2 linked regions of the Arabidopsis thaliana genome follow. The protein of the gene in region 2 interacts with the protein of the main gene of each other region in a pairwise test. Each region holds a gene or a part of one and is shown on either strand. Other genes may lie near its edges.

Region 1 (4,720 bases), on a different chromosome or scaffold from region 2:
CTTATCTTGTAGCTCAAGCTCTTTGGCGGTTCTGTAAACCATGTTGTCTTCTGTCTGTTGCATCATCCATGTCTGAAGCTCTTTCAAGCTCACAAAGCCATCTCTTGGAGACGCGTCAAGCAGAGGAAACAAGAACTTGATCCTCATTGTCGTGTTAAGCCTTCTCTCTTGTGCAAAATACTCCTCAAACATATCATCTTTCTCCTCTTTCGCAGCCTCCACGGTCTTCGTACCAGCTTCTTTCTCATGAGACAACCTCTCAATCCGGGTCACCAAAGGGTCAAACACCGGCATTTCAAGCCTCCGTCCGATGCGGCGGGTTATGAGACCCTCAATGGATTGAGTCTGGTTTTGTTTCTTATGAGCGAGGAGGATGAGGAAGATGATGGTGGCGGTTAGTATCGTGTAAACCACCACCTTGGCCATTTTCCGGTAGTCCAAGGTGGGGTAGGGAGAGAAGACGAAAGGGCCACGAAGATTGCTAATTCTGTTTTTGTATTTGCTTTATTGGGGGCTTTCCTTAAATCATTAAATTATGTTCTATCAACCGTTTTTGCCGCCAAAGTCGGTTATTTATTCGTTGAGGATCCAATGACTCTTCCTCTGTCTATATGTGTGTATTTATAGCAAACCAACAAAACCGGTTACGACATATCATAAAGCCTAAAGGAACAAAAGATTGTTAAAATGTAAGAAGAAAGAAATCAAAGAACAAGACTTGGTAACATCCAAGTGATATAGTGTTGGAACATCCCAGTGATGTGGTAGGGATGGAAAGAAAGTTTAAAGTAAAGAAAAGCTTCTTACTAAGTCATTTGATCATATACATTGCGGATTTAGAGAAGACGTGGTTAGTATTTGTTTAGTCTGCCTGCTTTGCAGAATCTCGGATCCAGGGCCAGTCTGATTCACAGAGATCAAGGGGAGAGTTTCCATCCTCATCTTTAGCGGCTGTGTTTGCGTTCTGTTTAACCAGAAACTCGGCGATAGCTTCTCTGTCGCATACAACAGCATAATGCAAAGGGGTTTGGCCTTCGTTGTCCTGTTCAACACAAGAACCAAAAACACATAAATAAAGAAGTTGCTAACTTTGCAGATAATGACTGGGTAGGAATTTCTCTTTCGTCACCTTAGCATTCACATCGGCGTTCTTATCGACCAGAACTTTGGCGATGTTGAGGTGGCCACGGTCTATAGCCCAGTGCAATGGTGTGCGACCTTCACTGTCTGCAGTTTATGGGAAAATTAGAATGCAGATCCAACATCACGAGAATGAACTTCCAAGAAACGGAATATACAAGCAGAGACTAACCCCTTGCATTTACAGGAATGCCGCTTTCAATGCTTTTCAGTAAATTCTCGACTTCTCCTTCTCTAGCAAATCCGTGTATGGCATCAATCTTCCTGAGAGATAAAACAAAAGTTCAATGAGCAGAGGATTAGTGTTTCATTCAGATAGACAGGAAGAAACGAACAGCTCAAAGTTCCATGAGACAATTGTAGCCATTTCACCATCAAAATTTGCTACAGCTAGAACGAGACAGTAATGTTACATATTCACCGAGTTTATGAGCCTCTTTCACAAATCAGGATACTTATATCTAATCTAGACATGAACGCAAGGATCAGGATATAAAACACATGAGAATACAAGAAGAGAACCTTACAACTCATTTTCGGACTCCTCATCATAAACCAAAGAGCTAAAAACTGGTCCCATGGTTCCTCTTGAGTTGGAGGCTGCATCATCCCCACCCCGACTTCCGGCTTTCTGTTAGTGAAGCTCACATGAACAGGCCAGAGGAAGAAACCGAAGCAATCAAACAAAGAAAAGGGGAAAAAGCTTTATACCACGCCACCGTCTAACCAAGTTGGGTAAAGCTGAGTGACAATCTCAATATACTTCTCCATCGCCTCTTCAGGTGGCATAGCTCCCAGTTTCTGCCATGCTTGCCTGAGATAGAACAAGATCATGGCACATCCCAATCAATGAAATTGCAATCTTACAACAAACCACAATTCCATATACAATCAACTGTTACAACAGTAAAAACCACATCATCGTCCAGCAGTTGCATAAGCTAAGAAGCAAACTAGGTGATTGTCTATGAAGAACCTAAAACCTCAAAAATTTCCACCTCAAATCAAATCTCAAACAGTTGAACAAAAACACCAGAAAATGATACATAGAAGTTAATGGCACAGCAGATTCAACGAAAGAGAGAGATACCACTTGGCACGAGCAGTCATTTTGAGAGCTGATGGCTGAGGAGCAGTACACGGCCCTTCCGTAGCAATCTTATACAATCCGTAAAGCTGCTGCTGCACATCACTCGGTACCTTCTGCGAAAGCCGATCTGCGGCGGCGGTAGTCACAAAAAGAGTGGCGGCGCTAAAAGCCTCATCGAGTTCCGTGCTCTCGACGCCTTCCCAATCATCATCTTCCTCACTGTCGTCACCGGCAACGCTATCACTTCGGGAGCTACCCTGCTCCGCCACAAGCGAATCCGCCTCACCACCGAAACCACCGCAAGAGGAATCGAGACGTCGCGAGTCAACTCCTTCCGGTTTAATTTCCAATTGAGACTCCTCTGGGTGACGAGTAAGAGAGAGATTGTCTTCTTTAAACGTGACGACGATCGAGATCAGCTTAGCGAGAAGGTAAGAGAAAATCAAACCTAGGATCACAGACTGAGCAAGTTGAGCCCAATCACCCATTATTTCTAAAAACGAAATCAAATTCTCAAAAACGAAAAACCAACGCCGATAATTAAAACCCTAGAGAAATTTCAACACAGAGTCTCACGAGGAGGATGAAGAAGAAGAAGGAAGCCAAGGGATCTGGAGAGACAAAAAGGAACAAACTTGTGTTGTTTTCCACCGATTCAGTCACCAAACAAAAAGAGAAGTTCCTTTTCGTTGTGGGCGTTAAGACTTTTTAATGAATTGGATCAAAGTTTAAAAGACGACACATAAAAAAACTTGGCGACGAGTGACGACAGATCACATATGGGTCTAATTGGGGAAGAAGTCGACGTGTTGTACCCTAATCTTTTTTGCTCCTTTTACCAACAAAATTAAATAAATATTTCACAATAACACGTAAAAAAGTTAATGAATTCAATAACAATGTCAAATTTTGTGGTGGAATCGTGGTCGAAAACAAATCTAGAAGACGTGCATGGTGTTGGGATGATTAAAGGCTTGACTCATACGACACGTAAATTGACATGTATCCATAAGAGAAAATAAGGTAGACCACAAACTTGAAGGCATTAGATTCACGTGAAGTGGGCACGAAAATGAAATCCCAACTTTTTTTCTTATAACAAAAGATAAAACTCATACATGATATTAAATAGTCCCACTTCCAAACATTGCTTGCTCAAATGAGCATCTCATGAAGAGAAAACCCAACCCACCCATACGAGTGAGTGAATCATTTTTACATGGAATACTCATTTAAGCAAGAAACATTAGAAAGTGGAAAGGAGAGTTTATCACTTTTGTGACTTTGTCACCATGAGAGTAAGAGAGATGATGACTCTAATTGATATATATCCCTATAACTATATATGAGCAACGTGACTCCACAAACAATAAAGAAAATTACGAAAATACCCTAAACTCAAACAAGAAACTACCCACCAACCCAGGCTACCATACTCTACTACTGAACATCTTAATAACTCCAAGACACACTAACCAAATACTTGAACAAGACTTGTAAGTAAAAGCAATGGAATGGTAGCTAAAGCTTGACTTTTATCCAACAATCAAACATTCTCAAGCAAACTACATGCCTGGGGGATTCATTCCCCACTGTATCGTGTAGATTAATACAAGGAAACAAAAAAAAAAGATATTTTCTCAATTACCTACCCTTTGATCTGTAATGGGTCACTTAACCTGTGGTAATTTTGAAAGACTATTCGTGTTGTGCTCCATACCGGCATTGGATATTTTCCCCTTCTATGAGCTTCTCAACTGCATCGAGAGGAAGACCCACCAGCTCTAACGTCTTTTTCCACACTCTCTGTGCAGTTTCTGTGTTGTGTGCTTCTTCGGAAGGATTTGCAGGGCGGCAATCTTGAGAGATGAATGGGCAAACAGGCCAATCATCGTTTTTTAGTGTTTCCCAGTACTCTGGAATCTGAGGATCTGTGGCCGAGAATAGAGAACTTCTACAACCTTCTTGGGGTGAAAATATGAAATAAGGTATCACTGCGTAAAGAGCTTGAAGAATCCTGGATAGATCCCTGGCCTGTAAATTTCGGAAAGAAATAGGCAGTTCAACGCAATGAATTTCTGAGAAAACAGAGGAATCCTGCACTTGTAACGAAATGAAGTGAAGCTAATACTCACAACATTTGTTAGGACAACACCAGGGGATAGACATACGACGCTGACTCCTGTTTCCAGAGGAAGCTTTTTGAAAAGAATGCTACTAAACATAATCTGGAAGATGGAAGATCAGAGAGCGAGACTTAACTCACCAGTTTCTGAAAATAAGCCTCTTTCAGAAAATGGAAACTACGGCAGATGAAAACTACGGCAGATGTCATTACTGTAAGCTCACCTGGGCAAGCTTGCTGCTTGAGTATCCTATAAGGCTTGAGTACTTACGTCTACCAGAAACAACATTCATGTCATCCGGGTCAACAAAACCGACACTATGCATCTACAAAAGTGAATCCCACAACCCATTATCTTGCATGAA
Region 2 (5,162 bases):
GAGCTGCCTTATCCTTGGTGACAACAGCGGTACCAGCACTTCCAGTAAATCCTGATATATAAGCCCTCCTGGCATAGCACTCTGCGATGAACTCGCTCTAGTACAAAATATGGAGAAAAATCACACTCAAGCCATGAAAAACTCAGGCAGTTTATGGATACATTTAGAAGTAAAACATAAATTTGTGACTTTCCTAATGGCACAGAAATATATTACAGGCAACATCAGTTATGAAAGTAGATCTTAAGCTCCTAGTATGTAAAATTCACCGAAACAACACATTACCCATATCAAAATGGCAAAAACAATTGCATAGATGCATAACAACCCCCGCACTGGTCCAAATCATATTTATTTTTTATCTTGAATCTCCAAATCGAATTTGGTATACTCAGGGACAGCAAGATTGACGTGTGAGCGGAGCAAGAAACTTTGGGGAGAATGAAATAAAACACGAGTTGGAGAATTTCATACTGTGATTTAGAAGAAGAAGAACTTCCATTTGGCTCTACAATTGAAACATCCTCTTATGACAAGTTGAGATTTGACTAGGAAGAAAAATCTGAATGCATTTTCAACCCAACATATAGAAGATCAGATACCACCAAAGCCGTTTCTTACAATACCATAAAGTAGAAAATTACAAAGACAAAGAGTTTATGCATAACACAACTGACAGATATCATAACAAACATATACGTTTCACAATCACTCAGAGAAATTGTGAGAGGTGATGGTGTTCAACGAGCACTTGTGGTGACTACTCTGCGCTTGTTTCGATGGAATTTTTCCATGAACCACTCGTGTTTGTGTGCAGTAAAGAAGATATGTCCAATAACTAATCCACAAAACACACCAGGTCCGTAGGCTATTGCCGCTGCTATCCAGTTAATCACTTGTTCTTCTGGTTCCGAAAATTCCTCGGATTCTAGTGGTGTAGAACTCGGGGCATGAGCTTTTCCACAGATTTTCTCAAGACCGTAGAGTCTGAGGTTGTCCATGAATGTAGAACAATGTTGGCTTTGAAACTGAGTGCCTAGTGGAACTGGACCTTCGAGAAGGTTATGGGAGAAATTCATGGTCGACAGAAAAGAGAGGCTACCAAGATCTCGAGGGATGTGACCTGATAGCTGATTCCGGGATAGGTCCAATGTCTCAAGATTTGTCAAATTTGCCAATGACTGAGGGATATTGCTTGTGAATGAGTTACCTGACAAATTGAGAAGACGCAATTCCTTCAACAAACCAACGGATTCAGGTATATTCCCAAAAAATCTGTTTCCAGAAAAGTCAATGGCTCTGAAGAAATATGGGATCCGCAAGAAGTCCGTTTCTACTCCTTTATATATCATAGTCATCGAATTACTATGGCTGAACTCGGGCCCTTTCTCGCCCATGTACCAATCCTCTGTACCTATATTAGAGCCGTTTTCTTCTAAGACAGATGTCACCATCTCACGCCAATTGGAGAAATATAAAGGTGACAAAGTTCCACTGAAGCCATTCTGTGATATATCAATGAGTCTCAAATGTTGAAACCCAAAAGATATGTGGTCATAATATAACGACCCATAGAATGCATTAGATCTGAGGATGAGGACACGTAATGATGGCAAAGAAACCAACCAGGATGGAAAAGTGTCCTTGATTATGTTGCTTCCCACATTCAGAAGTTCCATACCAGTGCAATTGATCAGGGATTTTGGAAGTTTTCCCTCCAACCGGTTGTAGCTAACGTCAAGTGATAATAACATGCTAGCATTGACAAATACGTCTGGGAGAAATCCGCTGAAGCTGTTGTTACGCAGAACTAGCCCTTTAAGCCAATAAGTGGAATTTTTCAAACAAGGAGGAATTGAGCCGTTGAAGAGATTGTTGGACAAGTCTAAGTACTTTAAGAACCTTTGCTTGCAGATCCAATGGGGAAAAGGTCCTCCAAGTGAATTCGAACCAAGATCCAACTCCTGCATTGATTCTCCATCCAAAGCTCCGGATGATGACTTTCCAAAACTGTTGAAAGAATTGTGGGAAAGTGTCACTGTCATCAATCCCCATAAGCAACCTGGCACTTCGCCTTCCAAGGTATTGTTTGAAAGACTAAGATGCTGAAGGTTGACCAACTTTGATATAGAAGTGGGGATTGGCCCAACTAAGTTGTTGTGGCTAAGATCTAGTACTATGAGACTGTGAATTTCAGATATATATTCAGGGATTGGCCCATCGAATTTGTTATCAGCAAGGTTTAGATCCCAAAGCCTAGAAGATGAAGATATATTCCCAAACTTTATAGGTCCCATGAACTGGTTTCCTTCCAAATAAACAATTTGTAACGAAGGAATCGTGAATAAGGATGTAGGAAAAGTCCCGACAAATGAATTCTCACGCACATCAAAATATTTCAAGTTGTGGAGTCCACTCATATCAGATGGAAGCGTGGATTTAAAGTGATTAGAGGCAACGTTTAAGGAGGACAAGCTGGTTAAATTTGGTAGTATGAAAGAGAAATTTTCCAATGTGAACTGATTGCTAGAGATGTCTAAACTAGAAAGCTTCGTTAAATTGGTAAATGAAGTAGGAATGTTACCACTAAAACTGTTTTCGGAAAGTAAAAGGTCTCTAAGTTGGTTTAGCTTACTGACCGAAGCCAGAACTTCACCTGTCAGCTGATTACTCGAAAGGTCAAGATGCGTGAGACGAGAAAGGTTTCCTAGTGAAGAAGTAACCTCTCCATAGAGATGGCAATCACTGAGAGTCAGGTTCTGGAGTTGTTGGAGTTTGAAAAGACCACTAGTTGGTTTCAAAGAGTTGTTGAGAAGGACATAACTAAGGTCAAGTGAAACCACCTCGCCAGATTCATCATCGCACGTGACACCCTCCCAAAAACAGCAATCACTAGTCTTGTTCCATGAACTCAACGATGGACTTGGCTTCGATTCACTTACCGGAAACTCGTGTTTGAACTCGAGAAGAGCATCCCTTTGGTCATGGCGGCAATAGTGAAGCCTAGAAGAAGCAAGAGTGCGTAGAACAAGGGAACCCAGGAGGAAGAAATACAAGGTAATAACACTACCAGAAAAGGAATTAGATTGGCTTGGAATCATTTTGTTTGTTTTGTAAGTAACAGGTTATGATAGCTATGGCTTCTACGTCTCTATTTAGAGAGAGAGAAAAATAGAAAACAAAACACAAATTTGCAGCTCTCTAGTAGACTTCTACCTACTCCTTTCTATAGTCAAACTTGCCCACTTGGACCAATAATTGACTTAAAAACACACACAATTGAACAGTTTTGAATCTACTAGAACTTCCTATTCAATTCGTAATCACGAGTTAAGAAGAGGTTTAAAAAAAGAGAACCTGATGTGCATCTTGTGAAGGTATGATATAAGCGTCGATTCCAACACCCGGCTCCGAAAACAGTCGCCGGATCGAGCTAAGCTTCTCGTCGACAACTACTTTGGTTTGAGCTTTACGAATCTCTTTGGAAGACTTTGCCGTGAAGGAGGAAGAGCTGCTGCTGCTGCTACTAGCATGACACCTTGCGCCAAAAAGAGGTTTATACGGTAATTTCCGGTGGATCAGAGAGAGCGAATTGAAATTGCTGAGAAATAGAGAGTGTGAGTAACGTGATGTGGATAAAACGAGCCGATTCAGAGACGGCGACGAAAGAGTTAGAGGAATCATCACCAGCGATTGCAGGAGAATCACACAAGAGGAGAAGCTTCTTGAGCAGAGTGATTACGGATAAATGTGTATAACTACTGAAAATTGCAAAACAACCCCCGTATTCTTTTAAATGTTGTATAATGTGCATGACTATTGATAATTACATTAAAATCCCAGACTTGTCAAAAAGAAACATTTTATTTTGAAACAATCTCATCAAATTCGTTATGGTAAAGGACAGCCAAGAGAGACGTGTGCAAGAAGCAAGAGTCTTTGGGTGCGTAAGAAATGTAAACGTGTTCGAGACTTTCATGCTGAGAATTTCGATTGGAATTTTGGTTTGACTTAGAAAGTTTTATGAGAAAGACTTAATACCGCCTGAATTAAGGGTTTCCACGAAAGAGACAAACGATAAATTGCAACCACACCAGAAAAGAGAAAAATAGATACTAATATTCTTTATATTGATAACCATGGGGTTTAGAATTCAAAACATATTTTGAGATATGAGTAGAAGAAGTTTCTGAATGCATTATCGAGCCAAGATTTATTACAAAACCTTGCAACAATGTGGTTTGGGACAAGAAGCTGACCATGATTTTAACCTGATAGTAAAACGGGCCTTGTCTCTTGACAGCTGAAAGTCTGAAACAAGATCATAATATTTCTCAAGCGCTGAACTAACACAAGTAAGGGAATGGAAGTGAATACTTGTTCTGAAGCAACTGGCATGAAAATGTACCTCTCAAGTATCTGGTTTTTTCTAATCTCCTTCCGTGAAAAGAAAGATTCTTAGGGTACCAAGGCAAAGGCTTGATTGCCTCCAATTCACCACTCTCTATGGCCTTAAGTATGCTTCTTATGTCTATCATCAATGAGACACTAGAAAAATGAAAGAGTCATGAATCAACCTCAGCCCGAAGAGATTTCATGAAATCATTCTCCAATTTCAATCAAATCCCATCACAAAATTGACCACTGAAGAATCAAAAACAGAGGCCACTTAGTCAAAAAAAACTCTGAAACTCCATAAACGAATCCCACTCTTCAGCTTTCACTATCCTTTGTTCCTTACACAACTTCACAACAAGACATTACAATGGTGTTTATTAGAAGTAAAGTTTCAAAATCCATGGAAGCCATTGATTCTATTGAGGTACCTTGTAATACTCCTCGAGTCCTCATCCTCGAAATGAAGATTTGAGCAGATGGGCTTTTGGAGGTTGGAATCAAAGGAAGCATCGGATTTGAGGGGGTTTTCGAACATTCTCTTGGCTATTTAGAGTTGATTTCTCTTCCAAGTTGTGTCGTCTCCATTTTTGTTGTTACAGTGGCCGAGCTTTTTGTTTTCACAGCGATGGGTTTGATGGGTTTACATTGGTTTTGAAATTCAAATTGATCTCGGTTCGGTTTAATTTGGTTTAGAGAAGAAAACCAAAAAAAATAAGACACGCGATGGATTTTTGAGAGTGAGTTGCGTGGATCAAAAAAGGCAT

The links. The genes of interacting proteins can lie anywhere in the genome.
Region 1: the proteins of RLP30 (region 2) and ACBP2 interact in a protein complementation assay, tested with the Arabidopsis thaliana proteins (one large-scale study listed by BioGRID).

Annotation. Positions count from the first base shown.
Region 1 is NC_003075.7:13,845,772-13,850,491, reverse strand, and holds ACBP2 (acyl-CoA binding protein 2), read right to left. Parts: upstream 2,944-4,720; 5' UTR 2,719-2,943; coding exon 2,231-2,718; intron 1,955-2,230; coding exon 1,852-1,954; intron 1,772-1,851; coding exon 1,668-1,771; intron 1,405-1,667; coding exon 1,313-1,404; coding exon of another isoform or gene 1,308-1,312; exon of another isoform or gene 1,228-1,307; coding exon 1,130-1,227; intron 1,043-1,129; coding exon 863-1,042; 3' UTR 558-862; downstream 1-557. Other genes in the region: AT4G27790 (Calcium-binding EF hand family protein), read right to left, coding at 1-426; FEY (NAD(P)-binding Rossmann-fold superfamily protein), read right to left, coding at 3,929-4,264, 4,366-4,458, 4,580-4,681. UniProt on the Arabidopsis thaliana protein: Binds medium- and long-chain acyl-CoA esters with very high affinity. Can interact in vitro with palmitoyl-CoA, but not with oleoyl-CoA. Binds to lead ions (Pb). May function as an intracellular carrier of acyl-CoA esters.
Region 2 is NC_003074.8:1,530,160-1,535,321, forward strand, and holds RLP30 (receptor like protein 30), read right to left. Parts: upstream 3,203-5,162; 5' UTR 3,102-3,202; coding exon 741-3,101; 3' UTR 509-740; downstream 1-508. Other genes in the region: AT3G05350 (Metallopeptidase M24 family protein), read right to left, coding at 1-97, 3,358-3,684; AT3G05365 (uncharacterized protein), read right to left, coding at 4,217-4,311, 4,409-4,548, 4,827-4,933. UniProt on the Arabidopsis thaliana protein: Receptor for microbe-associated molecular patterns (MAMPs) that induces a BAK1-dependent basal immune response to necrotrophic fungi (e.g.